Linked DNA regions of Drosophila melanogaster. The protein of the gene in region 4 interacts with the protein of the main gene of each other region in a pairwise test. Each region holds a gene or a part of one and is shown on either strand. Other genes may lie near its edges. The genes, in order: Nep3, BNIP3, CG14118 and CG15347.

Region 1 (7,404 bases), about 12 Mb from region 4:
TATTATCAACTGGTTCATCTGCTCCAGCTTGCCGAACGTACCCCACGTGGATTTCCCCTCGGGAATGGGGTTGTTCTTGATCCATTGATTGCTGCAATTTTAAGCAAATAGTTACTGGAACTCCTCTTGAACAATTTGAATTGAATTTTTAGTTAACGCACCAGGAATATCCATAGAAGTCATCGCACGGATCCACGGTCACATCGATCGATTTAAGGATCTCGCTCGAGGCGAAGATGCAGTGCTTGTTCAAGCAAGGAAGCTCATTGCCGGAAGGACAATCTGAAAGGGAGACGATTGTGTATCCTTGGAAATTCCTAGATTACATTCACCCAATCCATACCTTTTTGGTGCGGCTGGACGTGAAGGACGTGCTTGGTCGCATCGCTGCTGCCTCCATCTGTGAAAAGGACGATGAGCAGCGTAAAGATCGTGATGGCCATCACAAAAGTCGTGATGAGCAGCCATTTCTCCGTCTTGTTTCTCGAGCGCCAATTCCATGTAGCCTGTGAAATGAAAACGCCGCATTAGCCACCAATCATTCTGGCCTCCACATGGCGGCACAAAAGATTCGCCCCATAAATCTTTTCCAGCGAATTGTGTGTTTTGTAAACAAGACGACGGCGGTTCAAATGAGTTCAAACTTGTACACATTGGGGTGGTATCTACATGGGATACATTTCGTAAGCGTAAGGCACTTGCCTGCTAATTTTTCCATATATCGCTGAGATATAGATAAATGGCTTTTCAGAAGCCGCAACGACTCATGAAATGCAGTCTCCAAAGACAAATATTGTACCACACTGTTTAAATTCTATAGTAATTTAACTTGCTTTTAGACATTTTGTTGATACAGTTGTATACGGTCAAGTGCTTTCGTATATCTATGGAATAATATCACATGAAGTTTAAATTTATTTGAACAACGAACCGCCTCTCAAAGCCATCGTTACCCTGTCACCAGATAGGGTATTCATGTCAGTTCGCAGAGGGAAAAGCTCACACCAACGCGCTCCCACTCATAAGAGCAGACTTTTCACTGTCAACTGGCAACCTTCGAGCAAATGAGAAAAGCGCTCACTTTGGCCCCATTTGCCACTCGTTTCTGGGTCATTGCCACAAAGATAAAGCTGAAGCCCAACGACAACTAAGTGGCTATCCGACTGAATTGCATTGCACGGATGCACGGTGTTACCCCGACAGGTTTCTTACATACCCGGGCGGTGTGGTAGCGTATCTGCATGCCCGTATGGCCGGTCGCTTCGTTCAATTGAATGCCGCCGATGGAACTCGAGTCGTCCTCCGTGAATTCGGTCTGCTTGTAGCGCGTCATCTGGAATGAGAATCGAATTGTTGCAAACCCATCAAATTGCCTACCAACGTGTATCTAATAATCTAAATATGTTGCTGCTATCTGTTATCACATGTTTTGGTCTAGGGCATCTGATAAGTAGACCGAAGCTTTTCCGCTCGGATTGTATAGATACCGTGCGTTCTTTAGCGCTCACTCAACGCCTTGTGCTTTACATTTCTCTCACATCCCCCACTGCTGCCCATTTTCATATGGTGCTCTATGTACTCAAAAGTGTTAACCCTTCAGCAGTCAGCAGAGCATTCCAAGTTTACGATATGCCTTGGGTTTTCAGAAAATGTGCATTCATCATAGGAACAATTTGCAAATTACCCAAACTATATGGAAATATAGAAATAGAAAAAGGTAATGCACAACAACTTAAGAGAAATATATGTATAATTTTGTACTAAGAGTTCCTCGTAATCTTTGGACTATTTTTACTCGCTATCTAGATATCCATTCGAAAGAAATCGCGAAGTCTGAAACATGAACATGAACAAAACCCATTCTCAACCACTTGTCAGCATTCCATGTCTAACTAAGGTGCCCAACTAAAAGTGAATGGGATACAGGAGCTGAAGCACGGACATACCGAACGGCAGTCGGAAAGCCACATTTTGGTTAATCTTTGTGTATGGGGAGAGCACGGTATGCGGTAGTGTGTTTATTTTTCGGAACTTCGACGGGAGGAGCTATACGAAAACAGAGCGCGGCAACGATACTATCTGTGCTTAGCCCATGACCGCTCGCAAGGCACTGGCGGTCGAGCCCGGAGAGCTTCGGAACTCAGGGACTGCGAGTTCCGAGTTCTGCGACCAACCAATTCAACAATGCCCGCCGAAAGCAGAAAACATCTACGGGCCAACGGCGCGTTATATTGGATAGTTTTGCATTGTACTCAAATTAATTGACTGGCGGCTGTGTGCGTGTTTACTGCGGCAATATGTGCCAAGATGTAGCCGAAATGGATATACTGGGCGCATTAAAATGAAAAGGAGCGGCATATGTATTCAATTAACACAATGCAAATATACACCAAAAGATTCGGCCTTGCTTATGTGCACTTCTATATATCTTCTATATCAACCCACCCATTTTCGGTATGCCGAATAATATTCTAATGTCGATTTGGGATCGGGGATCGGAAAGGCGCCATATGATATGATTTCGCACTCGATCTTGTTTGCCAACAAATTGGTATCTTTAAGCTTTCGATATAGATTTACGAACGTAATCTGGTGTCGGACAACAAGCGATATAAATAACATATGATGGATGGGGGCGATATGATATTGCAGGTATACAATAGGTATATAATACACGTGAAAATGGATGGGCCACATAGAACCACATTTAAAAACACATTAAGCAAGAGGTATCCCTCAGTTTGGACTGCTTCTCGCCACGATTTTCCATCGCAATGTAAACACAGGCTGCACACCAACTGACATTTAGCAGACTGTTGAATGTAAACACGCATTAAATGGCGTTACGCCTAACGAGCCCTCCTTTTGCCACCAATCAAATCGGCTAATGTATTGAAAAACAAGGAGGTAGAAAACCATTGAAAGGTTCGACTTAATGGGCAAATCAACGGAATTGACGTCTTAATACTTTTATGGGAAATATATTAAGTTCATAACATGATTGAATATGATGCAACTTTAGGTCCCATTGAAAATGATTAACTAAGTTATTATATACCTTAGTCTTATGCTCGAAATAAGGATATTTCACTCAACCATTTACTACGACTATTCTACCAAAGCGTCCATCCAAGGGAGTTTTAATGAACCGAACGGAGCCCATGTGAAAGTCAATGATGGCTACTTCGGATTCTCCGAGTTCATAAACGGCTCTTCATGCCATTTTTTTTGCAGGGCAACAGATGATAACTGCAGGGATTCACCGAATCACCACCACAATGGGATTTCACTTGAGCTGCACTGAGTTGAAATCTGGTAGAATGAGTGCTCTCGACTCGTCATTATCTGTCGTTATGCCACCTCCTTTCTCGATTTGGCTGCGAGTATCCTGGCTATTTGGTATACCATATGGTAGCTACTTCATTTGTGCAGCTTTCCTTACAATTTCTCTATACCAAGGACCATAAAATCGGAGCAGCTTAGATGTGTGAGTGGTGAGAGGGTGGTGTGCCTGGGATGCATTTATTCAAATGCAAATGAAATTATGACTTTGAATCGGACTGTTTGGAAGTGGTGTGGTGTGGTGGGGTGGTACTTCTGATTGCACATACAGCACACTCACACACTGACACACTCACACACACACACACACACGTTCAGCAAAAGAGAGGCGCGCTCTTGGCCTACCTTTGCGCTCATTTTCTTTGTGCGCTAGAAAGAAGGCAATGCAACTTTTCCAGCTCCCTGCGCTCGCTTTTTCTCGACCCTTTGCCGTTTATTGGTGCACTTTCGATTAAGTTTGGCCGACCCTCGATGGGTATAACATTCGATCGTTCAGTGATTCATTTAAAACGCGCTTATCTGCATTCCGCTCGCGGTCAAACAAACCGCTCTGAGCCACAAAAAGGCAACGGTATCCACCAACACTGCCAACTCGAGCCACTGACAGCCAGCTCCAGCACCAGCAGCAGCGGTAATCGCACTCGAACTAGCCTTTTCTCTCCAAATTTCACTCGGCGCTGGGAGTCGGGTGGTTGGACTCCCTCGAAAATGGAAAAACCATAACACAAACGTATTAGATGAGCAAAACACACACAAACAGAGAGAGAAATGCGTGGCAGGAGGGAGCGAGTTGAACCCATTGCCGGAGAACGTGGTCCACTGCGCAGGATCTGTTTGAACGGTGGCAACGCTTCGCGCAACGAGTTGCCAGACAATCACAGTGCCCTTCAACAAGCTATCGGTTTAACCCACGTAATCGAGTATCCAAAGCTAACGATTCTCGTAATTCTCAATTAATCAGCTAAATTTGAATACCAGTTACTCGTAGAGTAGAAGGTTATACTAGATTCGTTAAAAAAGCATTGTAACAGGCAGAATGAAGCGTTTCGAACTATATAAAGTATATATATTCTTGATCAAGATCAATAGCCAAGTCGATCTAGCCATGTCCGTCTGTCCGTATCTGTCCGTATCCGTAGATCTCAGGTACTATAAAAGCTAGAAGATTGAGATTCAGCATACAGCTTCTAGAAACAATGAATCCTGTGCGAGCAATGGCTATGAATAATGAACGTCAATGAACATGTCAGTCGAATGACAAAGTCACTATTCAATTTCACTATCTTCGGCAAAGCAGTAAAAATACAAGCATAAGGTATTGAATAGTCCATTAGCATAACCCTATCGGCCGACCTAAATTGCTTTACGTCACAACTGAGAAAGCAAACAATTCGCACATGCCCACCAATTGTATTGTGAGGCTTTTCGTTTTCTACATACATGTATGTACATATGTATATGTATGTTTGTATGTATTTTCCGTCGAACGGTAGCCACAACGTACCTGCATTGTTTGCCCGCCTCCGAACGCCACTCACCTGAAAAGTGCGAAACGGACGGACAACAATACACACATATATAAATATATATATATATATATATATTTGTTTATTTATATGCATATACAACATGCATATGTTAATATTTAGAAAAATATGTATGCAAAATATACTTGGTCATAAAAGATCAACGAAGGTTCGAATACAATTCGGGCGATCATCAAAGCACTGTGACTCGGCATTCCCCATTCGCCAGAAGATCTATGTACATATATGTATGTATGTATGTATCTCGACTTCTGGGGCAAACCAACATGGGAGCACACCTTAACCCAAAATGACCCCGGCCCGTGTCGTGCATATCATTAATGACCCAACCAATTATCGTGTTCTATACAGCAAAAAAAAAAAAAAAAATAACATCTCGACACTCGAACATGAAAGCACTTGAAGTTGCGTGTTCTCGTTTGGGAAAATAAAGTACGACCGCGGTTTTATGTTCTTTGATCGAAAAGAAAATAATCTCATCTGCATGTGGAACAAATAAACGATGAATGGATATGAACAATAAGAAGAATTAATACCACTAGTATAGCTAAATTTTATTTTGAGGATTCCTTAATAAAGCAGACGCAAATTAATTGAGAAAAGTGCGTCGACTAAAAGATACCCATTACCTGCAGCTAACCGAAACTATTTTGTTAATCTCAAGTCACAAGTCATATCTAATTACAGAGTGAGATAAATACAGGTTGTAAACTTGTAACAGAGAAAATTTTTGTGCAATTCGACTATATGATACCTAGTGGTAATATTTTACCCAAAAAGATTTAAGATGTTTAATCTGTTGTTTCGATTTTCGATTTCAGTGCTAAATAAAGTGCCTATTTTGATCATACCCCACCGAAACTACAGCTCCATTCAAATTGAGTAAATAAACACCAAATAATATGACTCAGGGCAGCAGAAAATCGCTATTGTTACTCATAACATGAGAGCCGAGCTTGGGAATCGAGTTTAAAACCGTCAATGGCACTTTGGAAGCGGTTTAGTTGAAGTCAAACGCGCATTCGGAAAACATGTCGAATTTCAATCGCATTCTGATCGTCATTGTTATCGGATTGGCACTAGTTCATTTTAGTGCTGGTGAGTGAAACGCTAACAGAACATATGAAAAATCGCACAAAAAATACGATAAATAAACATACGTATAAACCTCAGCGGCTTTTCCATGGAAAATAACACATCGCATTCGCACACACGATACCATTTCGACGGTGCCAAGTAAACAAATTCAATTTCAACTTCTAATGGAGAATTAAGCACTGCGATATTATCAGCAAATTATTGATCTCTTCTATTTGAAACCAAATATGAAAGCAAAATTTTTAAACTATTTGATTTAAAATGTGTAATAGTATTAGGTCTCATTTTGATAACGACCATGTAGCATGTTTGGTCCACGAGAAGTGGCGGGTACATTGTGGTCAAGGAAAGTTACCTTTTACATGCGTTACTAATTCAAGCACATTTCATTTGAATCCAGTGGATGCCCAGGCCGGAACGGTGCACTGGAACAATGGAAATGCGGCCGGCGTTGGCGTCTATTCGAGCGCCCAGTCCGGCGGGATGCATCCGCCGGGAAGTCTGAGTGGCCAGGATCCGCAGTTCAGCTACGGATACGCCGGCATCGATTCGCGTGGTACCTACGGTGGAGCGGGTGGCAATGGAGCCTACTACGTGAGCGGTACGGACGAGCACGGTCGTCCCTTCTCCTACAACAACCAGGTGGGCCATCCCGGCCAGCCGGGCTACATGGGCGTACGGCCGGACCCCAACTACCCGGGTACCTATGGCTACCAGAATGGCGGAGCAATCATCGGCAGCTCGGTGGGCGTCACCGTGACCATAGCACTTGGATTGGCCTTGGGCGGCATGAGATTTTGATGCGGTTGCAGTGTGGGATCGTTTTTTTTTTTTGTGAATTAGTCTCTAAGCTTAATTTATGTAAACTTTTCAGTTGTGTAAATTCTTTACTAAATTTACTAAAACATAGAATGCTTTTTACTGGAAGGTGGGTTGTTGTCAGAATGAATTAGTTGATTTGATTTTGGTAAGCCCAGAAGGCTTAGAGAACTACATTGAACATTACTAAACAAAAATTTATTCATAATAGTGAAAGTTTAAATTATTTTGTAAACGAAGCAAATTTGATATTCAAATGTCGCAAAAAAAATCGAATATTAGCCACCTGGTGATCCAGTGCATCGACGCCATGGGTGGCTTTGCCTCCAAGGAGGTGATCCTAAAAGCGGTGAGCACAGCTACAGACAAGAAGTTCTGGAAAATGGGAAGGCGAATTGATGACGCCCTTGATACGCTAATCGTTGATGGTGTGATCCGCACACATAACGACAACTATTATTTAAACATGCTAGAGGAAACAGCAAGTGCCAGTCACTGTAACAGTGGCAGTGGTAAGTAATCTTCGCATCAATGGTATGATTGGTGTGAAACAGTTAAAAGGCAGGTCATATCAAATTTTGTAATCAACATTTACATA
Region 2 (9,542 bases), on a different chromosome or scaffold from region 4:
CTTAACCAAAAACAAGCGGGCGGAGGCTTTCCCAGCGGATGGCATAACATAGTAGACTTCAATGGACGTGTGACTGGGGGAATCGAGGCGCACGTGGAGCCCATATCGCCCAGTGTAGATACCGTAATCGATCAGTTCGAGAAGTCCATGGAACTGGGTCACTTGCAGTTGGGCCAGGCCATCAAGCGCAAATACACGGAGCTGGAGGAGATCTCGCAGAGATTGCGATCTCGGCTGGTGGATGTGACGGGGGAAACGCTGAAGTTCCCGGAATTCGATGTCGACTCCGCATTGGACAGTTGGCAACAGGAGGGAGATGACGATGATTTAGCGGAGGACTTTGAACGCTCCCTACGCACTCCCACGCCCCCTGGCTCGCCAACGCCCTCCACCAGCACCGCCGCACAAAATCTCAGAAACTCGAACGGTCAGGAATAGCCCAGGGCCAAAAGTCAGTTAAGAATGTTTTTTCCTCTCTCCACATCTCGATGTCGTCTCTGATATTGGCTCAAATGGTAGCTATAGTTAACCATCTAGATTTAGGCAATATATATATATATAATGCGCGGATCTTAATCTGATCTGATATTATGCTGTACTTAAATTGGCATCCCAGTTTTGCCTCGATTCACCGTCTTATGGCTGTCTATATAGCATAAAATCAAAGCTAGCAACGATCACCCAGCGATCGTTTCATTGAGTTACAAATCGTCGATTGAATATTGTTTTAAGTCACGAGGATTTTTCCCAGCAACCACACGGAATATGTATTAGTTTCGGAACTGTGTTAATCACCTAAGTATTTAGACACTATTACCTAATAAAACTTTAAATAAAATTACAATTGCTAAAGCAACTCAAAAACAGTTAGTTTATGCACTTTAAAGGGCGGCAGTTTAGTTCGTATCGATATTGCATTCGCTTGGCAATTGATAACAAGTCTAAATGATCAACTAACAAAATTAGTTGACTATTAGCACATTATGATGAAATTATCGCTTATACTGACTCACTGCTGATAATCTCAAAAAAATATTAATGGCGAAATGCAAATAGCGGGTTTTTCCCTTTATATACACAAAGGTAATCCAAGCCCTCACTTATGTGAAACAGTTTGATAATGCGAACAGGTACACGTCTAGCGATTTTCAAAACAACAGGCGACTTATTCAACAACAAGCACCGGGAATGCCTTTTAGACAAAAGGCATCTCAAAATACCTTGCAGCACTTCCCTGAAAATCCCTTTCATCTCACTAATCCGTCTTTCCAAGATTATAAAATTCTCAAAACTTTCTAAGCCATCTCTTGCAATTCCGTAAAACCCACCAAAGAAAAATGTTTGCAGATGCTCTTTTAAATAGATATTGAAAAATATTTTAATATAAAAAATCATTACAACTATTCTGTTTTTTTTGTGTGGGGGATAACCCTTCCCTCACATTAAAGATATAATCTTATGTGTGCCATATTGTTTTTTTTTCTCCTTTTGTATCGTTTTTCTTATATGCTTATTGTATCGAAACATTTGACGATTGTTCAACAAAAAGTACAATCAGGATACAATACGATTCAACTATAATATGTCTACAAATGTTTATGGTTGTTCTATATGATGTATGATGATGAAATTGAAATTCTTAACACGAAGTTCGGCGTACATTTGTATTGGATATAATGCACGGTTGGGTGCTAAGACATACGGCTAAAGCAAAATATATGGAGCATCTATAAATGCTTTTCTGTATCATTAGATTTGCTGCCTTGATATAATGTTAAATATATAAAATTATATAAAATATGAAAACGCTTAGTTTCAACCATTGCCCAAAGGCCTGTTTTAGTTTGCTGGCTTAGTAATTAGAAATTACATTTTTATAGGTATGTACTGAATGAGAAGGTGTCGAAAATATAGACTTCCGATAAAAATACAAATGAGTTGGAATACGGTTGGCTGTATAGATGTGTATACTTCGTTTTCTTATATGGAACGCATCGTGTTCTGTTTTCGATTGATGTGCATATTGATAGATTGAAAACGATTATATATATTTCCTCTTTCTCCTTTTTGTTTATGGCATCTTTCAGTCAATGACCACACGGGTAAGGAGTATGCCACGCTTGCTCAACCATAGCCTATAAATAAATACCATTACATGAAATGTGAATCTGGTGAAGATTGCTAGAGACCCTTACCCGAATCCAGCTCCCAGCAGCAGGGACAGGACGTTGGTCACCAGCAGCGAGTACAGAATTTCGCGGGAGAACAACGAGTTGGAGCCCAGTCGCTTCAAACGGATGGAGTAGCCTGTGTTAGTCTTCTTTTTCTCGCCCTCGTCGCCGGCATCCCGACTTGAATCCTCAATGTTCCAGCTACTGTAAATAATAATTCAATGAATGACCATTTGTGGTAAAAGGCCGCAATGCTCCAAACTTAGTTCTAGATTCTAGAAACTTAGCTAAATAAACTTTCATACCTGGGTGGCTGATTCCAGTTCTTCAGCCAATCTTCATTGCCTGCATTCTGTTTGTCTCCTCCCTGGCAAAAGCAAAAACAGAGACTGGCATTGTTAGCAAGATCACCTCGGTTCCGCCTCGATTCTCATCTCTTACCTTGGTCCAGTAGTTGATGTACACGTTTCTGAGCTCATCATCCGGACAGAGCTCCGACTGGGGACTGTTCGGTGGACTCTTGGGGCTATCACGGGGCGTATCACGACGGGAGCTGGCCAAGGAGACGACACGGCTCGACTGGTTCGACTCGCGCTGGGCCTCGCGCAGAAGTCTCAGGTACTCCTCGCCATTGTTGAATGGCAACGGAGTGATTCTGTCGGGGCTCTTGATGCCAGCCATCGCAGCTGTTGTGCTGAGTTCGATCCAAGATTCTGGAAAGTAGATCATTAGCATGATAGACTGGCGAACAAAGTGGGTGAAAGCTAAAGCCAAATGGGGTGAAATTAAATATTTAGTTGGTTGCATTTGGAGGTGGTTAAATATAGCACAGGCTCGAGGGTCGAAACCTTTTGGGGCGTGTTGAATAAACATGAGAAGTCCAAACACAGACGTGCGTTATGACGTTCTTTATTGAATTTATACAAACGAAAACGTTCTAGGTTCGTTAACAACAATTTTTAATTTAATTTTAGAAATTTTCATACAGAACATATCAATATTTTACGATGTTTAAGTTTTGAATGGTTTAACCCTATTTAACTGTTTATTTATGAAACAGTTTATTTATTTCTAAGCTGATAAACGTCAGTTTAAAGTAATCCCTTGTCTAAAATTACACTTGCTGACAAAATAAAGTAGTTTCACTTGTTTACTCAGAAAGGCGTGCAGTTTGAGAGCCACTGTGCGGCGGCAGCGGCTCTAAAAATGTGCCATCGTCACCCTTTCAGCGTTTGTCTTCGTTTTTGTTTACACGTAAAAACATTTTAACCATACATACGTTCGATTCGTTAGCCGGATCTGCAATGTATGTGCTTGTATATATCTGTTCGAGTGCTCGTGCCCCATTGATAACGCTAAAAACCCCACCACTCGCATAATTTCCGTTTCTTTTCGGCATACTGTGTATATAAAGCAGCACACATGTTTTGTTTATAGTCTATACAAGCCGATGCTTATCAATGCTCTACGGAGAAAATTTCATTTTCAAAACAAATCGAGAAAAAAGACAAACTGGCGATGCAATATGGGCACGAGAAGCGTGCAAGTTACTTGATAAGGAGTACAGTGTAGCGTTCCTAAAAACTACCTAATAATACAACCAACTGATTACATGTATACGCATATATATAATCACACATACGATCACACCCAACGCCTCTTATATCATCTATTATTCACTTTCTAATTAATTAAAATTAATTTTTTCTATAATTTTGTAATGTCACATTATAAATTTAAAATCTTCCTGGTATTGCTTTCTCTCGAGTTATCACTGTACAATCATCTAATTTAGACACTTTCGCGATGGAATCAGTTACAGAATAATTCAGATCACTCACGTGGCACACCAATCATGCTGACAATTGAATACTAAATGCATCGTCTAGACGAAAAGGATGATGCATTTATGATGGAAATGTTGCGAAAATAGAAAATGGAAATGCCCGTATGTCAGGTAGACGCAGAAGTTTTGCACAGGTAAACAATATTTGGAGCATTATCGGGAATCCGGGTTACAGGTACGAAAATGGAAACAAAAACAAAAGCAAAAGTGCACAGAAGGGTGGCAAAAACAAAAACAATGGCTTTGTGACTCACGGCACGTAGGCCTCTCTCCCTCTCTTTCGGCCAACCACCCTCCGTCTCTCTCTAACAATCACTCCCCCTCTCTCTCTCTCTTTCTACCCTACCCTCTTCGGGCTTTGTCGGGTGTGCATCTTGATGCGCAGCTGTCCAAAAGACCCTGAGTTGGGCCCATTGAACCGCCTTTATTATTGGATGGATGACTCCTCGGTATCATGATACGATTTCTTGCGTAGTATATGGCACAGTGCACAAAGAAAAAATGTTTCTCTAAGTTGGTCATTCATTTCGCACGTGTTTTAAGGTCAAGAAACAGATCAAGCCGGCGCATTACTTACACACTTATTTCATATACATATGTACATACTTAGCTTTAAAAGATTAATATCAGATTCATTCAAACGTATAGAAATACATATGAATAATATTTATATGCTATCATTGATAACGGAATTCCACATCCAAACTGTGTCAAACCTTTCAAAAGTGATGTATTTCATAACATATGGTTCGATTTGGGCTAAAACTGATTAGATTAATACTGCTTGGATGGTAGTAAATTGAAAAACAAATTTTTCGTCCGGCATTACTTTTGTGAGTGACTTTGCAGAATTGTAGTATAATTTCTGTGGTAGTCAACAACCTTTTCGACAAACAAACAAAGTGCTTTCAAGCAGTCAACCAAAAAGATTATACTTTATGTCAACAAAATATTTCAACATTTCGTGCAATTCCTAAGAAAATTTATTGAATATTGTCCATCATACGATTTTCATAAAATTAAGAGATTTTGAAAAACACATTCAAGTACGTTGATGAGTATAAATTTATATAACCTAGTTTTTCCGCGAGTGTAAACGTGGATGTTGATAAAGTGGGCAGCCGAAATACAATTGAAGCGAATATGCCAAAGGCGCAATTTCTGGAAACGACCGATAGGGAAATGCCCTCCCACAAAATGTATTTATTTACGAATTATTTTAGCAAGCCAGACGGAAGAAGAAGACCGGGTCGGGGAAATGGGGAGCGCAAAAAGTAAACCACAACTGACGTCAAGCGTGCTAAGTGCAAAGTAAAGGAACAAGACATGACATGAATGAAAGAGCGGAGGGAGAAAGAGTGCGTTGGCAGCTTCTTTGTCTTTGTTTTCATACGGAGTTTTGCGGATTCTTTGTTGTCTCTCTTTCTTTCTCGCCCCCTCTGCGGAGCAAGAACAAGTGCAAAGTAAACAAATAAAAGCAGAAAGAAATCAAAAAGCAGACAACGCAAAGCCTTGAAAAAATATGGGATGCGGATACTAACAAATTGCAAACAACTCCATAAATACATACACATGTCTAGATACTCTCGCAACAACAACAATGCGGCATAACGGGTTACCATGTTATTGTTATGATTGTAAAAAGGGGAGACGCAAAAAAACACGAATGAAAGAGCAAAGCAGACGAAAACAAACAACTTACCGCCCAGCAAATCTTCGCTCGATTTTGGTGTCGTAGACATTTTGTTTTTGTTTATCGGTATGTGTGTTCAACACGTCAACACCAAAGATAACTTGGGTTTATTGCTTATTATTAACTCGCTTTAAAGTTAAACTATTTCTATTATTCTTTCGTGAGTTTGACCAAGTTTTTTTTGGCCCTTCCGTATGTCTGCCTGTGTTTGTGTATTCGCTTTTGCTGTTTATGTATGCGTAGGAAAATGCGTTTTACTTTTCGTTTGGCGCTGTTTCTCCGCCGCTGCACTCGATTTGACTATAACTACTGGTTTCGGACTGAAGCCAACCGCTGGAGCTCCGAAATATTGCAACTTTGTTTAATGCTTCTCCCGAAGCGACTGTCTTGTAACTAAAATTAAACACGATTCGTTTCTACGCACAAGCTTAATGCGTAGTTTAAATCTTTTGTTGCTGTCCAGTGTGACCAGATGGAGAAACGGTAGCAATCCAGGTGCGTGTCTATGTTTTCCTACATCTGGCATCCCTTGTATCAAGTAAATTTATTGGTGGTTATTTTTAAAATGATAAAACTTGGTTTCTGTTGACTTTTGAAAATATATGCATATGCATATATGAATATGAAAAGTATATATACATTTACTTTTATTTTATTCTTATCTCGTTTTCAAAAACAAATCAAATGTTTCCAAATCACTTTTAGCCACATTTCGGACGAAATAAAAGTTATTGCCTTCCACTATAGTTTTTGGCGATATATACAGGTCTTTTTGCGGATCATATTGCGCTCTTCCAAGCAATTTCAGGAACTCATGACGTTCCCGCAGTCTAAATTCGCGTGAGGCCAAAAGCTCCGGGCACTGGACAATCTGGGCATGTGGAAGGCCCATATCCTGGTGAATGTAACTAAATCGCTCGACAAGATCATCCGGAGCTGCAAGGATAAGTTGTTTAATTACAAATGTCCTTAATTTTGAATGTAGATAGACTTACGAATCATCAAGAGGCGCGGCTTTCGTACCACCAGGTCACTTAGCTCCTTGGCATTGAATCCCATTTCCTCCTTAAGGGTGAACACAGACTTGCGGAGGTGTTCCATATTGTAGGTAATGGCATTGGGTTCTCTGGTGGCCAACAGTCGCAGATCATGACCACTCAATTTGAACTCCTTTTGGAAGTAACCCAATCGACGATCCACTCGCCTGGTGGAGAACATCAGCCAATAAGGATTCTGGGTGAGAATTCTTTGCCTGGCTTCGTCCGAGAATCTCTTGCTTTTTAGATAGTTCACTCTGGTCTGCAGATCGTCCAAGTCCTCCTTGAACAGCAGCGGGTTCTTGGTGAACATCCTGCCGAAGTCATCGGGTGATACGCCCTGATCCACCAGGAACGTTATGTAGGGCTTCACATTTTTCTCGAAATCCAGCTTCAGTACAAAGTCTCCCAATCCCTTTCGCCGTTCAATACTGTGCAGATCCACTCCCAAGCTGAGAAATTGCTGCAGGGTACTCGAGTTGTTCACATAGGCCGCCAAATTGAAGGAAGGCACATGGGCCTCCCGATTTCGGAAGTCCAGAGCCACTTCTTTGGAGCCTTCACATTCCGCAGGCTCGGTCTTCTTGTCATTCTGTTTGGTGGTTATACCCGGTGATGTTAACACTTCTACCTCATGGTGGACACTTTGTTGTCCTCGCAGATTTCGTATTTGTGAGGTAATTGTTGCGTTTTTAGCCGCATTTTGTGAATTCCTCAAAATGTTACGTAGAGCTGAACAAAACATGCTGGAGGCGTTGCCAGATGTCGCGAATGTGACCAGCAGTTGGCTGCCAAAGTTTCTAAATATGGCATGCTAGCTAGAAAAAGCTAAAATTATATTTTGAATATGATTTTGATATAAAAACATATTTGTTTTTAAATGGATATTCTTGAACAAAAATGCACTACTAATATCTGATTTCTTTAGTTTTTTTATGAAGATATATATAAAATTGCAAATTGTTGGTATAATTTTTAATCGGACGGTATATGTTAACGGTTACCACCACGGTCACACTAGGTATGATCTTGGATTTATTTTGGTGTGAAAATTCCGGAGCATAAAAACAGAAGAGACCCTTGTATGTGCAAAACCCCCCGAGAGGAGTGCCGGTAATTCCAAGTCAGCCACCTGTTGAACATTATTCAATCGCCGCATAATGGACAAGTTGCGCCGCGTTCTGAGTGGAGATGAGCCCACTCCGGAGGAGGAGAGCAGTATCATTACGCAGGTGAAGAAATTTTCTAATGGTACAGATCTCATTAGATCCCTTAACATATTCTGGCTGGAGGAATTATGATTATGGCGTGGCTTAGGAGCTAGCCGCTGGCAACGCCCCGCGATCACATGGCGCCCCAAGCCGTGTGACCCAACGCTTATCAAAGTATTTAGTTAATATCAATCAATTACATACGCAGATCAACGACATGTCCACTTTGAGCTGGTCCACTCGGATCAAGGGATTCGTCATCTGCTTTGCCTTGGGCATCTTACTTTCCCTACTCGGCTCGGTCGCCCTATTTCTGCACAGGGGCATTGTGGTCTTTGCGGTCTTCTACACTCTAGGAAACGTCATCTCGATGGCCAGGTGAGCGAGTTGCTGGTTCCGTTCCACTCGTACTTCACACAAGCCGGCTAATGAGTCTCTCTTCTCCGGTTTCAGTACCTGCTTTCTCATGGGTCCCTTCAAGCAGATCAAGAAAATGTTTGCGGAAACACGGCTGATCGCCACCATCATCGTGCTCGTCATGATGGTCCTGACGTTCATCGCTGCTATTGTGGTAAGGCGTCCATGCTCAAATCGAAGATATCACAATTATTTAGGGTTCGGTCGTTAACTTTTATAATCAAGTTAGTTTTATAGCGATAGCATGACGAATTTGTTTGCAGGTTTTGTAGAAAACTTTTCCTTAATGTTTAGACTTTAAAGTTATCCAATGAAATAGCGATCCAAATCTTATACATACTTCATGAACTCACAGTAAAGTTAAATGAAAGCTTTTAGCATTTTACTTTTAATATTAATAACACAGTTTCACATGCCCTAGCAATTAAATTCTGAATATTGGTTTAATTCTTATTACTTGAACAAAAAAACAGTACGATGCAATCGATGTGTGCACTTAATATGTTATTATTTTTATTTGATTGGCTTTAGTGGAAAAAGGCGGGACTCACGCTTATATTCATTATCATACAATCTCTGGCCATGACCTGGTACTCGCTGTCGTACATCCCCTACGCCCGCGATGCGGTCAAGAAGACCATGTCGGCAATTCTGGAGGTCTAGAATCAGATGCGCTTCTGTACATAGCTCGAGAAAAGCCAGATTGGTTTGTAGCTTAAGCTAAGACAATTAAATCTTTTGTATTGTATTAACCTAGCACTAGAACATAGAATGTCCTTTATATTCTCTTATTAACAAGTACAATAATTCCATTTTGTCTTTTTAATAAATATATATATATATATATATATATCTTTTATACATATATATATATATATTTACATGTTATGTATTTAATTTAATCAGTACAGTTTTCTTTAGTTTATGTACATAATTCTCTTCTCTGTTTTGGTTTTTAATTTAAAGAATGGCCCGATCCACTTTGTTTCTGCAGCTTTAAAGTTTATTTATATCAACTTCTTATTTTAGTTTCTTCTCTTTTTGCGGCGACAATTTACCTAGAAAAGTGAAATGAAAAATTGTAGATCAAAAGTAGCAGATATAAAAGTTAACAATAACTGGTTAGACTATTTTAATTTTAATATCGTAGTGCATGATGTTGGGTGC
Region 3 (6,914 bases), on a different chromosome or scaffold from region 4:
GGTGCGTATGTATATAGTTTATCGCCAGGACGGAAGGAAGCAGGACCCACAGCGGGAAATAAATTCAGGCGGTAGCAGGAAATTATTTATATTATATTTTTTATGTATTCTGCACTGTTTTTTTTTATATATATCATTTTATTTGATACATTTCAGTTGGTTTTATAGTACGTTTTCTTTTTTTGTTTGTTTGCCAAATATTTAATATGCATTTTAATCAAAATAAAAAACAAGGCCCACTGGAGCTGGCCTCCAAACAAGAGGTGGCGATATTAAAATACACACAGAGGCCGAGCGAAAACCCAAATATAAATTATAATTTCCGCTGGCGGCCGCACAACACAACATATCCTTCTGCCAGCAATGACATAAAAAAGAATCCCGACAACATCTGCGCGAAGTGCGTTCAATTATTTGACTTTTTTTCGGTTGGTCGGTGGTATCCTTGCTGCTGCTCCTTTTGGCCACTGACCTCACAATTTCCATGGAGCAGATAAACTTTCATCAAGTCTGCGAAAGAAACAAGACAAACAACAACGAAGCAATTTGTTGTATTCCTTGTTTTTGTAACCAATTTTAAGGAAAAATGTTATGGCCACTAAGGAAAGTCGTCTGGACTTCGGACCTTGTACTGCACTCCATTTCATGTCCTTAAGCGGTATACGATTGCTACAAGTGCCTTTCAGCTAGGCAAACAGAACAAAAAAAAAAAAACATTTAATTTCCAGGGAATGTGAGGCAAGTTGAAAGTTATATTGTTTCTTGTCGGAAGAATTCATTTGCATAGAAATCAGTTTTTAATTGGTTACCTTTTTACGTATTTCGTTGATTTATTTTTTCAATTTATGTTCCATCAACTGATTATTAAAACTTTTGTTGCATAAGTTTTCCAAACTCGTGTTATGTCAAAGAAGCTTGTTTGATGATTTGTTTTAATTATATTCGACTTTTTAAATAATTACATTTCTAGCTTAACTATCTAACAAACCAACTTGTGCTATACTCTTAGTCATATTAAATTATTTAATAAATGAAATAAAATCTATACGATATAGTTTTTTTATTAACCCTTCATTAGTTTTTCCGCCTCGTTTTCTTGAAACACGAACCACAAATTTCCCAACTCTTTGTGCCCCATTTGATGATTACTGTCCAACAGTCTGTGAGGGATACTTGAGCAAATATTGCTTACCGCACAAGGAAGCATAAAAACATAATTTCGGCTTGCCCCATTTCGAATACACCGGCACCGACCTAAGCGAGCGGAAAACGGAAAATCGGAAAAACGGAAAGGCGGCAAGGAGCTGGGGTGTGGAAAAGTGGAAAGTGCGCTTCAAATCAGCAAATGGAAATGTATCGAAAGCACTGAATAGAGGGGGCAAATATTCATGATAATGCCAAGGACATAGCTCCACGACGGGAAATGCCATGAAAAAGCCAGCGGAAAATTTAAGAAAATTCTTCACGACAGCCATTTTATGTGCGTTGCGTTGTTTGTATTTCCCGTGTATGTGTGTGTGTGTGTGTGTGTGTGTGTGTGTGTGCGTGGCGCAGAAGAAAAAGGATTAAATCAATGTTGTGGAACAAATTGTGTTTTGTGAACGGCATGAAGGTAATGCAGCCGAGCCGTATTTGATATCCCCATTTCTTCCAGCGATTTTGCGCCCTCGCCAACAAGGCAATCGCATAACGAGTGTATAGCATTTCCCGATTCGAGGCACCAACGTGGGCGTGGCCCCGCCCCCGACATGACCACACACGATGTCCCATTTGATTTTGATGGCGTGAAGCCCACACGAGCGTTAATAATCTGAGCACACACACGAAACTGGCACAGATGGTTGGCAAAAGAATGGGCACAGATGGTTGGCAAAAGAATGGGCAAGGACGACTCCTTCATGGAAATTAACTTGTTAGGTTGACAAAATCTGCAGACCTTTTCTTTAAAGATTTATTTAAATTCCAAGATTTATGATGTTTATGTTTTTTTTTTTGTACCAGATAATCATGAATTATTCTTAATAGCTCAAAGGAAATATATGTATATATATTTATACAGTAATGCATTTCTGCAAAATTGTTTTCAAGGGTTTGCACATTCGTTGCAGTGTTGTGACGTGATTTTCACTAATACCAAACTGCAGTTGTGTCACACAACTCACTCAGTCTTTATTGCACTCACTTAAAAGTACGGGCAATCGAACCGCCACCGCCCACATCTAAGTGAGCAGCTCATCCACTTCGAGAAGTGGGCGTGGCAAATGTCCGACAGCCCGGGCCAAATTCGCCACCGAACAGGCATACAGATAGCCATTCTTCAGGTTACCCTTGGCGTTGCTTTTGTGCAGCCAGCTAAGCCACTGCACCGACTCCTCCACTGGATCGCAGATGATATAGGACTCGTGGATCTGGGCCAGGGTGGCATGTGGGTTATTCACACCCACCAAAGCGATTCCGCGGGTCGGATGGCCCTCGTCGATGAGGACGCGATAGAAGAGCTGGGGCACGGCCACCACACCTATGTTATTGGCATTGGTGGTCATGTGGAGGACTTTGCTGCCAGCCACCTTCATTTCGCCATAGATGCCCGTATACACAGTGGCCGTGATGCCCGAACGGGCCACATATTGTCGGGTGGATTCCTCCAGCTTGGACCACTGACCACCATTGAAGCTCTGCCATTGCGGCGCCACGTTCATGTAGTTGAAGCTGCTCTTCTGTTGGCTAGCATAGATTAGATCCGCTTTGGCCGTCAAATGTCCGCGGGCCAGGAACAGACCACTCTTCACGTCAATGAGGCCGGGCACCATCAGTTTCTCCTGGCTCTTGGGCGAATAAATTCTGGCCATGTCAAAGCCCGTGAAATGGCCGGCGGTGCTAAACCTCGGGCGTTTCAATTTTTTCTGGAAGTGCACATTCGCCGGTGTCAGTTGATGGTGGGCGTAGTGGGTGCGCAGTTGATTTGGGTCGTGGCACAGCTCCATGGTGGCCACAAATCTGCCATCTCCGGTGTCATAGCCCACGCGATACAAGTACGAGGTGGATGGACTCGGAGTGTCGCTGCCACAACTCCTGTCCAATCGCTCCACGGTGTAGGGCATGGAGTGATTGCAGACAAAGTCGCTGAAATGGATTTTAGCCCCCATCCACTCGAAGGTGGTGTCCTGCACGCACTTCACCCGAATGGAACGCAGCTTCGCATCCAAAGACTCTCCATTCGCGGGCGCGAACGAATGGCTGCAGTGCAGCTCGATGCTGGCGCCGCGTTGAACCTCCAGGTGCCCATAAGCATTGGGCAGCCAGTAGAGATCTGTTCCTGGGCGCAGGTACAGCGGCTGCACTTTATCCAAACGGGGCAGATCATTTTGCACATCCACTCTGCAGGGAGAACCTAAAATGGGAAGTTAGGTGTGTTAAAAGATGTGGCTAAAAATTCTTGGCATAATTTTAGGCGATGACATAAAGATTAAATATTTTACAACACAATAATATTATTATATATACGAACAATATATATATAACAATTGTAATATAATAATTTTATATTCATATATATATTTTTAAATATTTAAGTCTTTCTTATTTTGAATTTTAACCAATTTTAAGACTAATTTATTTTCCAGCCCTTTGGTGCTATGTATTTTACTTTGTTGAAGCAGGTGACTTTTATGTGTAAATAAGGTTATTGTTTCTACAATATAGTTTTTTTTAAGAAAAACAAACATCAGACCTTTTTGCATTCCAAAATGTACATATATTTCATTCCGAATGTGACCACTACAGTCAAACTACTCAAACAAAGCTCAGTCTGCTTTGGATAAACGTATGGTTATTAACTTTTAGGCGACCACATACCTTGATGAAACATTTCTCCATCGATGTGCAGTCCATCGAGATCTTTGATTATCTGACCCACATCTGGAATGGTTGCGATCGCCTCACGTGCCCGAATCTCTCGCAGAATCACGACCGCCAAAATTAGGCCGATAAACTGAAGCATCATTTTGTTGGAAACTCAACTCGACCGGTTAAGTTGCTATCTAACCGCCGACTGAATTATTTGTTTGGTGAACAGGTGTTTTTATTTATATTCTCAGTTCGTGCTCTTGTATCTTACATCTCTCTCTCTCTCTCGCTCTCTCTTTCGTTTTGCTTCTTTGTCTTGTAATCTCTCTGAGAATAAAGATATAATACCATTGGATTGTTTGCATTTTTTGAGTACTTCCGAGTTCTTTCTATCTATATACCTTTATACATATGTATGTGTATTTAGGTCTAGGTCGCATTAAGTTCTTTGCTTTTGTCGATCCCCTTTCTTTACAGAGCTAAAACAAAAAGTGATTTATCTCGCGAATGATGTATCTCAATAATTTTATTCAAGATTAATCGTCAATTATATTTGACATTTTTCTTATTTAATAATCGAAAATAATCTATTGTTAAATGACCTGGCAAACAATGTATGTACACAATATATTCATACCTGGACAGCTTTCGATTCATTTGTAAATGAATAATGATCATGTAGATTTCGGGGATCATTTAATTGAAATCTAACCATATGAGTTGTAATCGTTGTTATTGTTATTATTGTTGTTGTTATAATTGTTATAGTCGTAGCTGGGTCGTGCAGTAGTGTACGTATTGTAGGGATTGTAATTGTTATACGTGGGATAAGCTCCATTCGATCCATAATATGAATTTGGATTCACGCCCGTACCCGTGCCTGCCCCAATGCCCATTGGCAGGATTATTAAGGGCTCCACAATTATGCTGGTACCACCCATAGTTCCACCTCCCTGGGGCATCATTGGCATCATGGGCATGGCACCTGGCATGTACGGTTGTCCCATATAAGGTTGTCCCATATACGAGGGATAATACGCACGCCCCGGAGATGGTACATTCATTGAAACAGGACCAGGATACGGCAGCGCTCCTGGCATTGGCATTGGTCCTGGCATGGGACGCATTGGAATCTGACGTGCCGATCGATTGTGAAATTGTGGTAGTGTTGCATCAGAATCCATTTCGGAATCCGTCATCGTTTCCCCCAGAGAAGCTGACAAATATATGTATTAGCTATTAATTTTAGGAACGACAAATTTGAAAGTAATGAAATAATGTTCGGAAGGAGTCCATCCGGTGCTGAGTAGCTTTGAATTTTTTTTAACCAGTATCGAAGATCTTAGGAAGATCCACCCGAAAAGGGTAAGTTAATATTGTAATTATAGGTACTATAACTGGGTGGGTACGGATTGTAAAATGATGGAAGTGAGTTCCCAGCGGAACGTCCATTATAGTTCATATACGTTGGATAGGACATCCCTACTGAGAAGTGGAGCCAAGGATTGGCCGAATTGGGTTGTCCTTGCATGGCATATTGCCGGTTGGCCTGGTATTGAATTGCGTACTGTGGGTTGGGCTGAGGTGGAATCACATATTGTGGTGCAACTTGACGCGGCTGCTGCATTTGAAACGGTGGGCGAGGTGGTGGATACCCGGGTGGCATTGAAGCTGGCATCCCCACAGGCTGATAAGGCATTTGTGGCGTTCGCCGGAAACGGTGCAAAACTGGCGAAGATATAGAAACGAAAAAAAAAGGTTGATAATAGATTCTATATTTATTATTTGCACATAACTAAAGCTCCTGGTCTTTTAGCCAGCTAATGTGAGGTAGATTAAATAGTTATTGGTTGATGAGGGATTGGCTGATCTAGACAGGGGGTATCCATATTGACCATATGAACTTGACCGCACACTGGGATAGCAGTTATAGTAGCATGGTGGAGTGGGAGGAACTAATTGTGGCCCATTGGCCGATCGCTGCTGCGTATAAGAAGGCAATCCTGCTCCCGAATTCGGATAACGGGGATAAGTACAGGAATATGGGTAGAGCGGACTGATGGTACAGGGAGGACTTTGTCCTCGATTTAGCCAAGGATTTGGCTGTTGAGGTTGCTGGGAACCATCTTGAACAATAACCAAAACATTAGCCTGCCGTTGGCCTGCATGGGTGGCAAATGTATCGGAGTTACTGAAATCGCTCAGCAGTTTAAAGTCACTGTTCCTATTATTCCGATTGCGACTCGTGGAAGTGCTGGGTATGATGATGCTGTTTCGGGTGTTGGCAGTGGTCTGTGTAGTGTCGATGATGAAATCGCTGGCCAGCTGATCTGAAACGGATCAGTTGAAAAGGACCAGATTTCAGTGTGAACCGATGAAAAAACAAAATTTTACGAACCTGATTGGCACTCCGGATAGGTTCCACATTGTTCTCCTTCTTGCTGATTTGGGTTTTCGCAGGGAACTCTGGATACAATGCATTTTTTACCAGATATACAGGCAATATCCTCACAACTAAGTCCAAATTCTGTATTGATAGTGGGGAATTTTTTAGATTTTATCCCTTATCCTGTTCGCTGACTTACTTCTGTATCCTTGGACAACAATCGTCGTGGCTAATATCAAATATATACCAACAAGTTCCATTTTCTCTTGTAAAATTCCGAAACTAACTAAATTCATTTCCCTAAATCCCTCATATTTATATCATTTTGATATTTCATGGTTGATGAGTTGCGGTAATGATTATTTGCAAAATTAAATCACCGAAATATGATGATTATTGTTCTGACTCTTTCTAACATAAATAAAAGTTCATTAAACAGCGCTAATTGAATATTTTTGTATGGCTGTTTAAATGCAGTACATTAAAACTTACACGATTAATAAGTTACTGCCTAAATATTTCAGCAGTAGGTTAGCCGAATAGAACTATCTATTAAACGGTCTCTGAACTACGCCTTGAACAGGGGTAAATAAACATTGCTTAACAAAATAACACACACTTTCAGCCTTGATAGATATTACTGATTAATTAAAACGAAGTTTAACCGCATTGTTGAATCCGC
Region 4 (7,311 bases):
CCTTTGAGCGATAAATCATCGGTTTGAATTGAGGACAAATCGTGTCCAGTCATGTCCTGGGCCTCCAGTGCATCATCATCGTCACCTGCGTTGAAGTTTAGTTGACTTTCGTCGTCCGGTGGATTGACTAGGCCACCAGGATATTCTTCGCGTTGCTGATAGCCACCGATCAGTGTAAACATAACTTCACTATCGTCTATCCTGCCATAGCCGAACTTGCTTAACTTGCTGCTCTGATTGGCCGTCAGGACGACCGGCTTCCAGGTGAGATCCAGGGTGGACTTATTGGGCCCCAAATCCTCCAGTACGCTCTGATTGGATAGCACGCGACCCTTGTACGACAGCCGACTGAAGCCCATGGGCACGGACATGACTTGCCCGATCCGTGCCTTCAGGCTGGCCACCGTTCCTAAGCGATCCACCTCGTAGACGGTCTTCTTGCCGTCGCGCGTCTGAACCAAAACTTGGACCTTCCGCATCCTGATGCCCGAATTTATATATATATATATATATATATATATATATAGATAATTTTAGATTTTATACACAAGCTCTGTGTCTCCAGGTGTAGTCTGCTTTGTTCGGATAGAAGTTTGCTTCTGGAACCCCTTGTGTAAAACTGTCGTCGTCATGCGAATGCCAGTGCGAGTAAAATTTCATGGCATCCTTGGATTACCTTATAGCCTAATCAACATTTGTTGATTCTCCAATCGAATTTCATAAACAAAATCGAAGAAAATCAAGTACAAGCTATCAGAAAGTTGATGGCAACGAAGTTCTAGCGAAATGAATTTGACTACCTAATTGGAACAAGAAAAAAGCATTTAAATCAAATTGACTAATATTATAACTTGCATTTAAAAACCCGCACAGTACATATGTATATATATTTCCACGTACGTATGTTGCCTATAAATAGTTAGTTTAGTTAACAAATCGCTGGAGCCGAGTACCATGCACAAAACTGATCTATTTCCGCACATCCAGTTCGATCGAATGGAAAATGGCATCCGGAAAAGCGAGCCGTGAAAAGTAATTGACAAACATTCGGAGGCGTCGACACATTTATGCACTCCTCATTTGCGCCGAGAGCTTCCGGTTTTCCAACTGCCACTCCGGTACTTGCGGCTCGTCGTCGATTTCTCTTGGTCTGGGATCGGAATCGAGGAATAGAGGTATAGGGTATCGCAATTGAAATCGGGACTTCATAAACACAGTGGCATGTTGTCAACTGCAGTGCCAACCCGTTGACACCTCGTAAAAAGTGAAATGTGTGTTCACTGTGTTTATGCATTAAAGTTTTATGCTTACTTTTGCTTCAAAAAACATTACGATGAAGAACTGTTCAAAGTGAGCAACGTTTTGGTTATCCCCCAATCCCAAAATGTAATAACTAAACCATTTCTATTTTTGTCTTCTTTAGTTTAGTTATCTTTATTAACGTTTTGTTCAAAGTAATGAAATAAACGAGTATAAATGTAACATCCCAGTGTATGTATGTATGTATAATGATGTTTTAGAATGTAGAAAATAATAAGACGGGAATTTCTAAAAGAACTGGGTCTGTGGCATGATTGACTTTCGTCCATCATTCGACTCTGGCCGTCGTTACATCTTAGAGTCTCCAGGCGGCGACAAGACCGCTGATCAGCAGCGTCATGGAGATGATCAACTGGGCACCGCTGTCGCGTGCCAGCGGAATGTTGGTATCATTGGCCAGCAGAAAGTTGCAGCCGCGTCCCTCGCACGTATAACAGTTGCCATCCTTGACGCACTGCTTCCTGGCATTCGCCGAGGTGAGACAGCCGCGCTGGAAGGATCCGTCCACGGTGCGATTGCTATTGCGAATGTAGCACTTGTCGCCGAACTTGTACAGCGGGCAGATCTTGGCCGATACATAGGTCTCTGTGGCGCAGGACGACGAGGTCGAGTTCCCTGTGCACTGTAGGCACATGAGGCGGCTCAACGGGAAGGTGTTTCGATTGCATCCCTCGCTGTAGGTGCACAGCTGGCACAGTAGCTCGTTGTTGCACGAATTACGCGTGGCGTTGTCCAGATCGACGGCACAGCCGCGAATTGTGTAGCCATCTGCGAAAGATACCATTAGATGGTGCAGCCAGGGTAATCAATGCGATAACATACCCAGGACGCGGGAATAGCAGTTGGAGGATCCATCGGAACAGTTGCGATTGAGCAGGCTCAATGGATCTGTGGCGCAGCGTTCGTTGTCCTTCGAATTGCACTGGATGCATCCATCTGCAAATTGAGCGAGTGGAACGGAGCGTTTCGATTGAGTCATGCCTGATTAGATTAGATCAAGTTTTTCGTAATCGTTGCGTTGGCATAATGACATCATATTGATTTCGTGCAAAGTCTGCCTACCTACCACAGTGCATATGTGTTTGAATGTGTTTGATTATTTCTTTTTATGTATCTACCTGCATGCCTTATTACAATGACGCGCACTGTACTCGGATGGCAATTGTCTCGATTTTCCACAATCGATTCTTACGAACATGCCCATGACAAGTGAATCAGCAAACTTGTATGTTTTTGATAAGAAGAGTCAATTTACATTGGCTATAAATCGAAAGCTTGCAAGCAAATTATATTTAGCATATCAGGTGGCAGTAAATATTAAATATTTACCAAGTGTTTACATGAAAGTACGAATGTACGAGATTATGTTTCAACTTTAATAATGAAACGGAATAACTATGTACTTCATCACAAAGAGAAATTAAATTACCGCTGACATACAGCTGTGTTCATAAAAATAGCAGTGCTTGAGTTTAAAATAAAAAAATCTTAAGATTTCAAGTTTTAATGGGAAAATTTTTTTTATAATATCATTAGGTATTTAATTTTAAACAATTCAACAAATGTTTCACATTCATTTTTTTAATAGTTTCGAAAATATAGATTAAAACAAGCAGAAATAGCAGTGCTATGAAAAAATAGTAACAAAATTCAACTTGACTTAGAACGAACTTATTCTTAGCCGATTTGCTTCTGCGTTTCTTTATTTTTTATTTTTTTAATTTATTGCCCTTTTAAATATACAAATTCAAATTCAAATTCAAACTCACTTTTTAGAAAATATTGATCATTTCGGGAGTTTACGTTGGTCAAAACCAGACACTGCTATTCTGTTGAACAGCCTAAAAGTTGTGATTTTGCTCAAGAATGTAAATAAAAAAAAGGATAGCATAGAAAACTAACGACATTTTCTTTTTTTCCCTATCTACACATTCCAATTCACAAAAATAAGTGGAATAAAAATTCGATCCCGAAACATGAAAAAAAAACCGTCGCATTTCTTAGTTTCTCTTGCACTGCTATTTTTTTGAACACAGCTGTATGTACACATGGTTTAAATATATGGCGTACAATTTTCACATCTTTTTGCTGGCTCACTCACACTTAGAAAAAAAAGAATATGTTTGCCCAGTTACAAAGCTAAGAACCTTTAAAAGTTTCTTTGGAAACTCGCCTATTGATAGCTTATCATGAATTTATTTCCGTGTCCATGATATCACCGCTTATCACACCTTATATAAAACACTCAATAAGTTTTTCAATTCAAAGAGCAAAAAGAAAATTAAAAAAAAAAAAATACGATCCCGATGAAAATTAAAAGTGAAACTTATTTTGGAACAACATTTAGGCAGGTACAACATTTACCACAACTGATGTAGGCCAAAAACGAGAGGGCTGCAATCACCAACAGGTAAAACTTCATGGCTGATAACTGATGTAACTAATTTCACGACGATCGAATGTTGCGACTGGTTACGGAGCTGAACCAGAACTAAGGGAGTAGAAAAGGTTCAATGAGTGATTTGAGTTTTGCCGAGCTTTATACCCTATTCATATATACCTACAGCTTTACGATAAGGCACCACGACAACAGTAATTCTATTGGTGAGTTGAGAAAAAAAAGTGTTTTGAAATGATTCACGACGCTAAAGTTGTCGCTCTTTGGCATACATTCATTTTCATAAATTATGTTCAGCGGGTTAGTCAGCGCACTTGCGAAACTTCCAGATGTTTTAAAAATATATCTTTAATGTTTGCAAAATCGTAATAAATTTCATTTTCAAGTGCTAGCTAATCGCATTAAAATTTCAATTCAAATGCTAGCGCGCATTTGAATGCGTTCCACACTTATCGATAACACGTCGATAAGTACTCCTTGCCAGAGTTTTTAATTAATATAGTTTAGCAAAATATCATTTTGTTTCTATTTAAATTTAAATTGGTTCATACTCACCAATTTATTGTAAAGGAAGTCGAAACTTTTAAGCTGATTAATTTCACCTTTTACATCCGAGAATTAAAAAAAAATACAGGGAAATATTTTGAACCGACGTTTTGTTATTCTGAGTGAAACTTAAAACGGTCACACTTTGCTGGCAGACAAAAATATTCACTTTTTATATCTAAACAAAACAAAGTTATTTACGAAAAAAGCGAGATATAAACGGCAATGAGCGCCACGACTAGAACACCTGCCACACCGGGGACACCTGGCACTCCCGGCAGCCTGGCCATGGAAGTGGCCCGCGTCCAGAATTCAGCACTCGCCGAGTTTAAAAAGCCCACGGCGATGGTGCGCCACAAGAACAAGCCAAAGATCCTTACCGAGGAGAAGTACATCGAGGAGATGTCTAAGATCATCCAGCGCGACTTCTTTCCCGATCTGGAGCGGCTGCGTGCCCAAAACGACTACCTGGACGCGGAGTCACGGCGCGACTTTGTACAAATGGCCGAGATTCGGGAGCGCTACAGTCTGGGCAGGATTTCCGGGACAGGAAGAAGCACCAGCCGACGGAATAATGGTGGGTATTGTACTCAATTGGATGAACACCACTGGCACATCGCTGTCTGCTACTATCTTACTTGAAATCAAGTCTGATGAAATTATACATTGGCCAAGTTCAATAGATAGACCCATTAACTTTTTGAATTCCTTCATTTCAGCCATGTCCCCGGCCACATTTGAGACACCAGTGAGTCAGGCGAAATGTAGCAACACCCCATTGCCAAATTCCCGGGCCACAGACACACCATTTTCCACGGACGGCTCCGAGAAGAGCGATGCCGAGGGCAGGGACACCACCGCGAAGCTATCGCTGGACGCCTTTCTGCAGAAGTACACCAGCGAGGATAACCAGAGCTTTCAGGAGATCATCGAAACGGCCGAGGCCAAGCTGCGCCAAAAATACGCAGTACTGTACAACCATGAGAAGCTCTCCGCAGAGCAACTGCAGCGGGCCCTAATGCTGCCCAGCATAGAAACGCAATTCGAGGAGCCAGATCCGCTGAGAAAGATCGAAACCTGGAACTACACCAACATGAATTCCATTATGTACGTGCCCGATGGCGTGGAGTACACAGAGGAGGAGCGCGTCCAGTTGGCCGAACGGAAGCAGAGCATCCAACACAATGCCACCAGGCTGCCCGATGAGGCAAAGCATCGCGAAATGGACACTAAAAAGCTGAATGATGAAGTGCCCCAAAATGGGGCTGGTGGTGCCACAGCTACTCCGAAGGTACGCGGCTTCGATTTGTTGCGTTCACCATCACCGCGACCCGGAGAGGCTTTCTCGCCCATAATGACCTGGGGTGAGATCGATGGCACTCCCTTTCGCCTGGACGGAGGCGATACCCCATTGCGGCCCACACAAGGACCCTCGTTCCGGATTAATGAGAACTCTCGGCGCGAAAACATCGCCATCGCTTTGGCCGAAAGGGTCAGCGAAAGGATGCGAAATCAAAAACAAATGGCTCTGGATACGGCGCGTCGTAACATTGGCTCACCACTGATACGCACCAATATGGAACGGCTGGCCAGCATGTCGCCGGCAGCGCAGCTACTGGCCACGGGTAAGCTGGGTATCCGCGGCACGCCCCGATTAAGGCACACACCATCGCCGATGAGCGGCAGAAAACGAAAGGTTACGCCCGGCGTGGTGAGGAGCACCAATACGCCAATACTGGGTGAACCCAAACCCAAACAGCAGGCCAAGATTAGCACTCCGGCTAAGAACGTTACCATTGATACGGGATCCACGCTCACGGACGATCTGCTCAAGATACCCACTAAACGACGCACTGCAGCCGATTTCTTTTAGTACATAACATTACCCATAACCCAGCTACATTATTCATGTTTAATTTCATTAGAGAATACTATACATAGTCCCACAGTGTTGTTACGAATTGTATATTTCTTATAAATAGATGCCGAGTTGTTGGAAAGAAGATTTAAGAATGCGTAAATCATAAACATCATACACATATCTTATCAGCTTTGAAGTTCATTAAGATGTATTGGGTGTTGTAGCAAAAACACTTGCGCACATTTTTAGTTTCATTTTAATGTTTCAATACGAAAAACCCCATTACCACAGATAGCAACATACTGATTAACTAGCTAGAACTGCTCATCCCTGTAATCCACATGATCGCCGGACTTGAACTTGAATGCTTCCAGGACTTTGATGAATCGCTCCGTCGTTTGGGCGGGAGTCAGCATGGTCTTGGACTCCCTTTGCTCTCGAAACATGGCGACCACGGCGGGATCGTGGGCCTCTCGCTGAACCTGGACGGTCATCTGTGTGTCTATGACGCCGGGCGCGTAGTTCAACACCAGGGTGTCCTCGGCGGACTCCTCGGTGGCCAGCACTCGGAAGTACATCTCACGGGCTGCCTTCACCGTGCAATAGTGTGCCATCGAGGATATAGGTGCAATGGCTGCCAAGGTGCTGAGATTAACCACCAACTTTGGGATTCCCTTGAAGACGCGCATAAACTCGCAGTTTAGCGAAATGGCCGAGAAGACATTGGAGTGGTAGTAGCGCTGTAGGAAGTCGGTATCTCCGATTTCTTTGGCCCTCTTTGACGTATCGCCCACTGTGCCGGCATTATGAATGACTATGGCTCGCTCGAAATTGTTCTTTCCACCGGATGCCTCCAGAATCTTGGTAAAGTCCTCCGTTTTGGCCGTTTCCAGCTCCAGCGAATAGGTTTGCACGGATAGATCTGGCACTGTGGCGACAATCTCTGCCTTAGACTCCTGCAAAAGGGTTTGATTGCGTCCCAGAAGCGTCACCATGGAACCCTCGGCTTTGATCCGTTTGGCTAACTGCTGGGCGAACTCACGGCCAATTCCACGTGATGCACCGGTCACCAGGAGATATGTGCGCTGTTTCAGGTCCATGATTGCGTGAAAAACACGGACTATATTACTTTCTAATTTCCACACCGCTGAAGTGGCAACAGTTGGCTGTCTTTTTGCCTTAACTC

Evidence for each region.
Region 1: the proteins of CG15347 (region 4) and Nep3 interact in a two-hybrid assay, tested with the Drosophila melanogaster proteins (one large-scale study listed by BioGRID).
Region 2: the proteins of CG15347 (region 4) and BNIP3 interact in a two-hybrid assay, tested with the Drosophila melanogaster proteins (one large-scale study listed by BioGRID).
Region 3: the proteins of CG15347 (region 4) and CG14118 interact in a two-hybrid assay, tested with the Drosophila melanogaster proteins (one large-scale study listed by BioGRID).

Annotation. Positions count from the first base shown.
Region 1 is NC_004354.4:19,957,884-19,965,287, reverse strand, and holds the start of Nep3 (neprilysin 3), read right to left. Parts: upstream 3,992-7,404; 5' UTR 3,688-3,991; intron 3,600-3,687; exon of another isoform or gene 3,443-3,599; intron 2,113-3,442; exon of another isoform or gene 1,947-2,112; intron 1,334-1,946; coding exon 1,217-1,333; intron 507-1,216; coding exon 344-506; intron 283-343; coding exon 162-282; intron 92-161; coding exon 1-91. Other genes in the region: CG12655 (uncharacterized protein), read left to right, coding at 5,921-5,987, 6,388-6,788; CG43784 (uncharacterized protein), read left to right, coding at 7,063-7,318. UniProt on the Drosophila melanogaster protein: Metalloendoprotease which is required in the dorsal paired medial neurons for the proper formation of long-term (LTM) and middle-term memories (MTM).
Region 2 is NT_037436.4:20,513,249-20,522,790, forward strand, and holds BNIP3 (BNIP3), read right to left. Parts: upstream 6,146-9,542; 5' UTR 5,760-6,145; coding exon 5,720-5,759; intron 4,057-5,719; exon of another isoform or gene 4,029-4,056; coding exon of another isoform or gene 4,013-4,028; exon of another isoform or gene 3,451-4,012; intron 2,885-3,450; coding exon 2,613-2,884; intron 2,539-2,612; coding exon 2,477-2,538; intron 2,376-2,476; coding exon 2,196-2,375; intron 2,136-2,195; coding exon 2,084-2,135; 3' UTR 1,351-2,083; downstream 1-1,350. Other genes in the region: CG32425 (uncharacterized protein), read left to right, coding at 1-438; mTerf3 (mitochondrial transcription termination factor 3), read right to left, coding at 6,369-6,646, 6,706-7,492; CG5104 (uncharacterized protein), read left to right, coding at 7,908-7,979, 8,167-8,336, 8,412-8,529, 8,907-9,038; Pss (phosphatidylserine synthase), read right to left, coding at 9,396-9,433.
Region 3 is NT_037436.4:12,889,802-12,896,715, reverse strand, and holds CG14118 (uncharacterized protein), read right to left. Parts: upstream 4,059-6,914; 5' UTR 4,004-4,058; coding exon 3,856-4,003; intron 3,392-3,855; coding exon 2,220-3,391; 3' UTR 1,958-2,219; downstream 1-1,957. Other genes in the region: CG43894 (uncharacterized protein), read right to left, coding at 5,659-6,176, 6,245-6,373, 6,432-6,492.
Region 4 is NC_004354.4:8,457,082-8,464,392, forward strand, and holds CG15347 (uncharacterized protein), read right to left. Parts: upstream 3,818-7,311; 5' UTR 3,743-3,817; coding exon 3,685-3,742; intron 2,302-3,684; coding exon 2,143-2,301; intron 2,089-2,142; coding exon 1,616-2,088; 3' UTR 1,413-1,615; downstream 1-1,412. Other genes in the region: CG32713 (uncharacterized protein), read right to left, coding at 1-479; Es2, read left to right, coding at 4,490-4,841, 4,984-6,137; Sptr (sepiapterin reductase), read right to left, coding at 6,440-7,225.